Danio rerio: one gene and its partner. Each later gene encodes a partner of the first gene's protein in a complex. Links are inferred from orthologs where the notes say so. Each region holds a gene or a part of one and is shown in the gene's direction. Other genes may lie near its edges.

Region 1 (4,365 bases):
CACAAACAGCCAAAGTCTGTGAAACAAGTGACTCATGCTCTCACAGGACCTGTGGGAGAACAGGCAGATTCATCTCTCATACACATTGTCTGATGTCTCAGCACCGGAGAAATATCTATCTATCTATCTATCTATCTATCTATCTATCTATCTATCTATCTATCTATCTATCTATCTATCTATCTATCTATCTATCTATCTGTCTGTCTGTCTGTCTGTCTGTCTGTCTGTCTGTCTGTCTGTCTGTCTGTCTGTCTGTCTGTCTGTCTGTCTGTCTGTCTGTCCTTATTTACAGTCCATTCATTCATCTATCCATTCATTACAAAGATGCTAAATGCTAAAGTGCTACTAAACAAATACTGACACAACCACATGGTTAGGCAAGTTTTTTTTTTTTTTAATTAAGCACAGAAACATGGCATTATCATGTTACCATTTTAAATCTGTGCATTTTTACCACCTTAGTTCCCAATTTGTATCTATCTGTCATGTCCATCCTTCCATTAAATAGTTTTAAAATGCTTAAGTGTCAGTAGCAGTAGCTTTTTATGGTCATTTATAGATGTATAGATGCCTTCAAGCATGCAATTACTAAAAAAGGATTCACTAGCCTATGCTAGATTTTAATGGTATTATCAATGACATGTCAACAAACATATTACCACTTTTATATATTTGTAACTAAAATATAAAACATATTCAGATGCTTATTCTATCTATCTATCTATCTATCTATCTATCTATCTATCTATCTATCTATCTATCTATCTATCTATCTATCTATCTATCTATCTATCTATCTATCTATCTGTCTGTCTGTCTGTCTGTCTGTCTGTCTGTCTGTCTGTCTGTCTGTCTGTCTGTCTGTCTGTCTGTCTGTCTGTCTGTCTGTTAAACAAATAATATCATATATCTCATTACCTATTTCATTAACACTGTAGCAATAATATAATATAATATAATATAATATAATATAATATAATATAATATAATATAATATAATATAATATAATATAATATAATATAATATAATATAATATAATCCTAAAAAAAGTTTGCCTAGCAGCATCAGCTCGCTATCAAAAGGCTGTCGGCTGTTTCCGTTAATTTACGTAAGCTTTCGGAAACGGGGGCAGGACTCGGCGTTTGAGCGCGCCTGCAACTAATCCAGTTCATTCCACCAGTTCACCTGAACTCTTGACGACTGTTCCTGCGCGCGCAGGTGAGCTTTACCGGACACTTTCCTTCAAAACAATACTTTTCTGACAGCTTTACGCTGCTCTGAAGCGACTTCATCGCAGTTTTGGACAACTTTAAAGTCTTTGTGATTATTTTGAAAGACTTCTGAGGAATGTCGCGGATCTGAACAAAAAAGTGCGTGTACTCTTGTCTGTGTTTACAAAGTGATTCACACGAGACGTTTGCGAGAAAGCAAATCATGGCAACAGGAGGATTTAAATCTAACAGCGCGACAGACTTTCTGGAGGAATGGAAAGCAAAGCGTGAAAAGATGAGAGCAAAGATGCTTGGAGATATCGCCGCCGCCACCGGCAGAACCACGGAGTTAAACAACAACGGCAGCAGCTCGGTGAACTGCGTCTCCTCTGCGCCCTCTTATCCGGTGGCTCGGTCCTCCTCTTCATCCGCTCTGAAGGACGAGCCCAAGACATCCGAGCCGCCCGGGGGAAACTTGAAGAAGACGCCGGAGAAAGTGAGCGCAGTCCCGCAGGCGGATAGCCCGAGCCCCGCCGGTGTGGATGACAGTGATAAGGAGAGTCCCACACACAGCAAGAGCAAAGAGAAGAAGAGCTCGGGACCCAGCGCCAGAAAGGGCAAAGGACAGATCGAGAAGAGGAAGTTAAGAGAGAAGAGGAGGTCAACAGGTGTTGTCAGCATACCGTCCAACGAGGTCAGTTCACTTGCTTTAAAGTTTACCTTTTCACCAAGGCAATAGCAGAAGCCTACTAAAATGCTGCTTATTACAACAGCTGTCATAGACATTGTTTTTAATGGTTGCTACACTTTCAAAACAAAATAATAACATGGTGCTTGTTTAAGTTGTTTCCAGATCTAGACATTTTATAGATTGTGTAAAACATGCATTTTAACAAATATACATTGCACAAAAAGTGTAAATACCTTCTGTTCTATTAATCTTTTTATATATTAATAGTGAGCCCTGCTATACATGAAGCTTTATTTACATGCCTTTAAAACATGCCATTATGCTAGTTTTCAAATGGTGTTACCAATGGCGTAATGTCAACAAACAAAGTACTGCTTTATATTTTGTAACTAGAATTAAAAGCATGTTTTTACCATTTTAACCATGGCAAGGTAAACAATAATCAGGTGCTTATTTACGTCATCTATCTATCTATCTATCTATCTATCTATCTATCTATCTATCTATCTATCTATCTATCTATCTATCTGTCTGTCTGTCTGTCTGTCTGTCTGTCTGTCTGTCTGTCTGTCTGTCTGTCTGTCTGTCTTTCTGTCTGTTCTTGGTAATTAATACTTGCTTAGGATACTTTGATGTAAACTTTGGTACTGAATAATAGAAGTAAAGTTGTTCTTTTATTCGCAAATTCAGACTTTCTCCTTAATAATATAATTTTATGAAATTTTTATTTGTAAACTCTAAATAGCAAAATCATATTAGCAGCTAGTGACTATCAAAGTACAACATTGTTCACAGTCAAATAAACTGTGTAAATGTTGTTTTCAAGTCATACTTGCAAGGTTATTTTAGACCAAATATTCAAAGTGCCATAGTAAACAATGTAGGGAGTGTGTCACAAGTGGATGAATGTGTGAATATAAAGCCTCTGTTACTGAAAATATTAATATGCAATGTATTTGCATGCTCTTCGAAGAATGCAATGTTGTTACCATCATGTTAGTTTAAAAAGAAGCCGCATTGTCTTAGTATATAATGTGCCATATTTACGTGTACAGTAAGGAATACAAGATAAAACCATCATGCCTCTTTTTATTGGCTGCATGAATTTGCCAAAAGTATGATAAGAACAACAACAAAAATAAACACAGAAATCATATTATTGTCATGGCGAAGGCCCATATCCTGAGTTGCAACCATATTTGCTTACTGAAAGTGTTCTAAATATGTTTAGTAACTAAAGTATACAAGCTTGCTTGCATTATTACAGCCATATTTGCAATCTTACGTCTACTAACCATCCTACGTGCCTAAAACAAATCATAATCAGTGTCCAAATACCACAGAACTTTTTTTTTTTCTAAGTAATTTGTTGGTAATTTTGTCTAAAACTGACATTATTACAACCAGATTTGCTTATCTAGGCTCAACTCTGGCCAATTTATATAACTTAACTGTGAAGTCCATCGTTAAATGTCACTTAATGAGTGAACTCGCATACCTACATTATGTAATCTTGGTGAAATATCTGTTTAATGCATGTTCTCCTCCAAACAACACTCCTATAAATCAAGACTAGAAGGCAACAAGTCTGATGACTAACAGATTGGGATCACATTATACATATTTTCTCCATTTCATGATTTATAATGACTGTGAGTTGCTGAGTTACGTTGTAGATCATGGGATGGAGCTGATGGAGAACACGGTACGGCTGTTCCTCTAGTTAAAAACACTTCATTAGCAGATCGGTTCACCATAACAATTAGCCTCCAAATCTGTCACCGTTATCTCTCACCTTTCAACCCGTCACATTCCCCTGCATGAGCAGTGGGAGGCTTGTTAGTGCATATGCCAATGTGAATGTCTACCACCCAGCTCCACTGCCCTGCGGATAGTTGCTGTTGGAGGCTGACCAGTATGTCTGCTTTGGCTGGAGATATCCTGTCATTAGCCCCTCGCACTGTGCCAAGGTAAAGTAGTTTGGGAAGTAGGGGGCAGGCCAAGACTTAATGTTAGGGTGTCTTTGAGAGCAAGTATACACACTCATGCCCCAGTGTCTCTCTGCACGAATGTAGAGCTGGGTAAATAGTTTATTGTTTTGACATTATTCTGTCTGGAGCTGAAGTTATTATAAGTGAGGGAGGGCATACTAGTGTAAAGATGGTTAACGGCTATGACATCCTGTCTAAATGTGTTGAACTTAAGGGTCCCATCACCTGAAACTGTGATGTCCAGCAGTATATCTCACACCTTTTGGACATATCAAGCAGGTTTAGTGTCTGCTTGATTTAGTGAGAATGTGCCAAATATCCTTCCTTAACCAGCTTTGAGAAAGGATATGCGGTAAAGCAGACATTTGGACTTTCCAGAGGTTGTTTCCCTGTACTTCCTGCCGCGGCTTCAGATTTAGAGGGCTCATTGTTTGACCGTGTGCATTTAGGAGCTTGCTGTGAGTTTTC
Region 2 (4,145 bases), on another chromosome or scaffold:
CGCCGAATCCCACGCATATTCTTTGTACATCTGAATGTATGTGAAACTGAGTGCAACATGCACGAGCGCAAAACCCCTCCCTGCCTCCTCCCCCGTATGAATATGCTAATGACTCTACTTTGGCAAAACCCAACGAAAAAGCAATGGCAAAAGCAAGCCAAAAGAGAAACTTTAAACAGAATGTGAACTGGAGGTGCTGCTTTCGGAGGTAGACCGGAGAAAAACGATTTTACTTGCAAGTTTGTCCTCCGGAATTAATAACAAAAGAAAAAAAATTGAGTGGGAGAGTTTAGCTGATGCAGTTAACACAGTTAGGTCTGAGCATCGCACTGAGTGAATTAAAAAAGATATAGTGCGACGTAAAGATGTAAAATTTTGTAGTGTCTTTAACAGCCTGAGTGGTGCAGCTCGTTAAATGCGTGTCAATATGTTTTCACACGTTCAGGCATGAACTCTGTTCGAATCAAGCGTCTGAAACTTTCTCTTTTTTTTTTTTTTTTTCCGCTACATATCAGATTTTGCCTATACTCTTCATCATCATGAGAAAGACAAGTAGGAATGATTAATAAGTCTGCATCATATTTTATTTGCACATTTATTGCATGGAAATGTTTCTGATTCACGTATGCAAGTTCATCCTCAGATGTTGCCTTTATAGCAATGTGCGTGCAGTAGATAGCTACGATTACATTGGGGAAAACTGGCGACCGCTGCAAATTGTGCTTTAATGTTTGGATGGTCAACTGTATGGTACGGAAACCTTGTATACTAGACATGCGGATGAACTCTTCTCATACAGCTGAGAAGACACGCACAAAAAAATGTGCGTACGCCAGCCATGAAGTTGGCGTGGAGCTGCACACATTCCCACATTAATTTCATCGTTAATAAATCCAAACATGAGTGATTCTGAGCGTGAAACCTGGCGTACGCAAAGTTTTGTGTGTACGCAGCGTTGATGCATGAGGCCCCTGGTGTGCTACTTGCTTCATACAGAGAGTGAACCAAAGTGCATTGGTGCCATTATAATGAATCAAATCTTTCTAATAATGTATTAGAATAATGTATTGACATTTTCTTCAATATTGCACGGCATAGAAATCCACGAATTCCTACTGTATTGAAAGATTTCAGCTTTTCTCAATGTTTTCATTTCTATTAGTTGCCCAGTCATAGTCACAGTCATGCCTCGTCAAATAACAAGCCAGTGTGTGTTAATTTTAGTTGTTCAAAAAATAATCAGATGGTGAGTTTCCTTTAATTATTTTCAAAATCAAGAAATGTACCCTTTAAGCAATAATCTCTTGCTTGTAATATGAGAGCATATTTACTGTACAAAACCTGTCAGTGAACTATGAGGCCAAAAAACAATAAAAATCGTTCATTAATTGTAATAGTTAATTTTAAATTAATCTTGATTTTAGGCCAAATTGCCTTGCCCTAATTGGTCATTATATACCATTATACAACCACAATAGACTCAAATCATTTTTAACGCTTGCACAGTCATGGACTTGCACTGTGTCTGTTTTGGGTAAATGAGGATCTCTGATTGTGATCGCTAAAACGTGCTGACTGGGAAAAAAACAACAACAACAAAAAAAACAGCCTATGCCCAGATCTTAAAGTTTCTGCCATACTTGTGAGCTATAATTTTTAATTTCTGTCTTTTCTCTGTCTCCCTGTAGCTGAACCTCTGCCATTAATGGACCTCTGTAGGCGCTCTGTACGGGTGGCATTGGGAAGAGAACGACTGAGTGAAATCCATGGACTGCCCTTACCAGCCTCCCTAAAGAACTATCTACTCTACCAATGATGATAGTAGTGCCTTTACAAGCATTCAAGGCATAGCAACTGCCTCGGATTCTCTCTGGGATAAATAGTCTTTCTGGCAAGCCTGTTTCATCATAGTTCTTGGTACCAACGATACTGTTTTTACAAATCCAACCAAGGACACCTCATGCTTGATGCTTTCAGGATCAAGCATGGATTCGTCTTTTGCTTCACTCATGTACTGGAAATCAAACCGGAGGCTTAGGCCAGAATCCTGTGGCAGATTTGAAAACAAGAACCCTTCTTCTCTCTAATCATGGCTTGGTAACTTCAGCTGTTAAAGGCCTTTTTACTTTTTATGATTTTTTTTTTTTTTACTCCATCCCCTTTTTTAATGATGTATTGGCATACCTTAAGCTTTCTTGTATCATGTCATTAGCTTGTGGGTCCACAAGGCAACTCTTTGTGGCCAATGCAAAACAAATTCCATCTCAAGACCGTTAAACTTAACAACCAAGTTTTTAAGTTAATATTGACTTTTTATATATTGCGCTTTTTAAATTATCCCATTGCAGTCAGTATACTGTAGTAGCTGAGTCCACTTCAGATCAGTAGCAGCGGTTAGCATTTTAGCTAATGGAAGGCGAGGTCTCCCCCTGCACACTCTTGGCAGGTTAAAAATAGCCTGGTTTTAGCTGTAAGTCTGACCGTCTGGCCTGGAAAAACAGTCGTTGACGTCTGTGAGAGGGGGGGAGTTTAGAGGCTAGCATTCATGGAAACGGCCACTGCTAGTGTGCTATGCTAGCTCTTTAAAACCACTCAACGGGTCCCTCGCCTCTATTCACACTGCAATATCAGAAAGTGCCTGGCTCAAAATACTGATACATTAGGAGAGAGCCATGATTTGAAGTCCTTTTTATAATGAATGAAAGATGTCATCACTGTGAACCTATGTAGCATACGTTGATCAATAAGAGGTTGTACAGCTTGCTTTGTGTAATGGCCCCTAAATCCTGTGAACACCCACATTGGCAATTTAGTTTTTATCTTGAGGACTGTTTTAATCTGTTGATGATTTGGGGAAAGCAGGAATGGAGTAGTGACACTGCTGTGTGGTGCCTTGTCTATGAGTTAATGAGTGAAACGTGGGCAAATGTTGATGCTCTATTTCTTAAGTCTTGATGCTGAGAAGGTAAGATTGCCAATTGTTGTTTTTCTGTGTTTTTTTCCCCCCTCCCTATTCTAGTATTTTTAGATGTGTTAATCTAGTTCATGTTTGGCAGCCATTTTGCTAAGCATGAGGGGGATAGTTTGGTTGCCTGTTTTTAAACCCTTTCTGCCTGGAGACCACCATTCTCTTTGTATTAAGTGATGTAGATAATATTGGTAACTATCTAATAAAGTTTATTATAATTTAAAACACTTTTGGTTTGTTATTTAATTTGCTTGTGTAACATTTAAAGGTAATTCATATAGTTGACATCAGAATTATTAGCCCCCCTTTGATTTAATTTTTCTTTTTAAAATATTTCCCAAATGATGTTTTACAGAGCAAGGCCATTTTCACAGTTTGTCTGATAATATTTAATATTCTGGAGAAAGTCTTGTAATATTTTGACTAGAATAAAAGCAGTTATAATTTTTTTTTAAAACTATTTTAAGGTCAAAATTATTAGCCCCTTTAAGGTATATATTTTTTTCGATTGTCTACAAAAAAAAAAAAACATTTATACAATAACTTGCCTTATTACCCTAACCTGCCTAGTTAAGCTAATGAACCTAGTTAAGCCTTTTAATGTCACTTTAAGCTGTATACAAGTGTCTTGAAAAATATCTGGTAAAATTGTTTACTGTCATCATGGCAAAGATAAAAATTAATCCGTTATTAGAAATTAGTTATTAAAACTATTGTTTAGAAATGTGTTGAATCTTCAGTTCGTTAAACTGAATATGGAGGAAAAAATAAATAGGGAGGCTAATATTTCTGGCTTCAACTGTATATTCAAAATGTCCTTTTTCTGAATGTATTGCTTGTTGAAAATTATATTGGGGTGGGATGTTCACATTTTGGTAGGCTTTAATTAGAGCGGTCTCTGCAGTGCAGAGTGAGTCATCAGTATTTTAGGGCACTGTGATTTTTGGAAGACAGGCAAAATGAAAATCCAGTGCATTTAGATTAAAATGTGGCGCTATAAAAAAAAAAAGAATTAATAAAAAAAAAATAAAAAAAACTTCTAGAAAACCAGTCAAGAAAAATTTGTATTTGGAGAAAAAAAATTTAATAAAATTGATTTTCATATTTCTCTTATTACATGAAGATGATACATCAAGCTTAAATCCTCATAACAGCCTGGAAGAAATTCATTCTAAAA

The links.
Region 2: the proteins of pawr (region 1) and spsb1 are in contact, whole or in part, in a crystal structure (PDB 2JK9), measured with the Homo sapiens proteins. The link is inferred for Danio rerio from reciprocal best matches to the Homo sapiens genes PAWR and SPSB1. Residues at the interface, in NP_001341661.1 of Homo sapiens: Glu68, Leu69, Asn70, Asn71, Asn72, Leu73, Pro74; in NP_079382.2 of Homo sapiens: Arg77, His78, Pro79, Val80, Ala81, Gln82, Gly110, Thr111, Tyr129, Val216, Trp217, Gly218.

Annotation. Positions count from the first base shown.
Region 1 is NC_133179.1:22,060,505-22,064,869, reverse strand, and holds the start of pawr (PRKC apoptosis WT1 regulator protein), read left to right. Parts: upstream 1-1,174; 5' UTR 1,175-1,438; coding exon 1,439-1,909; intron 1,910-4,365. UniProt on the Homo sapiens protein: Pro-apoptotic protein capable of selectively inducing apoptosis in cancer cells, sensitizing the cells to diverse apoptotic stimuli and causing regression of tumors in animal models.
Region 2 is NC_133198.1:25,434,175-25,438,319, reverse strand, and holds the end of spsb1 (SPRY domain-containing SOCS box protein 1), read left to right. Parts: intron 1-1,688; coding exon 1,689-1,816; 3' UTR 1,817-3,086; downstream 3,087-4,145. UniProt on the Homo sapiens protein: Substrate recognition component of a SCF-like ECS (Elongin BC-CUL2/5-SOCS-box protein) E3 ubiquitin-protein ligase complex which mediates the ubiquitination and subsequent proteasomal degradation of target proteins.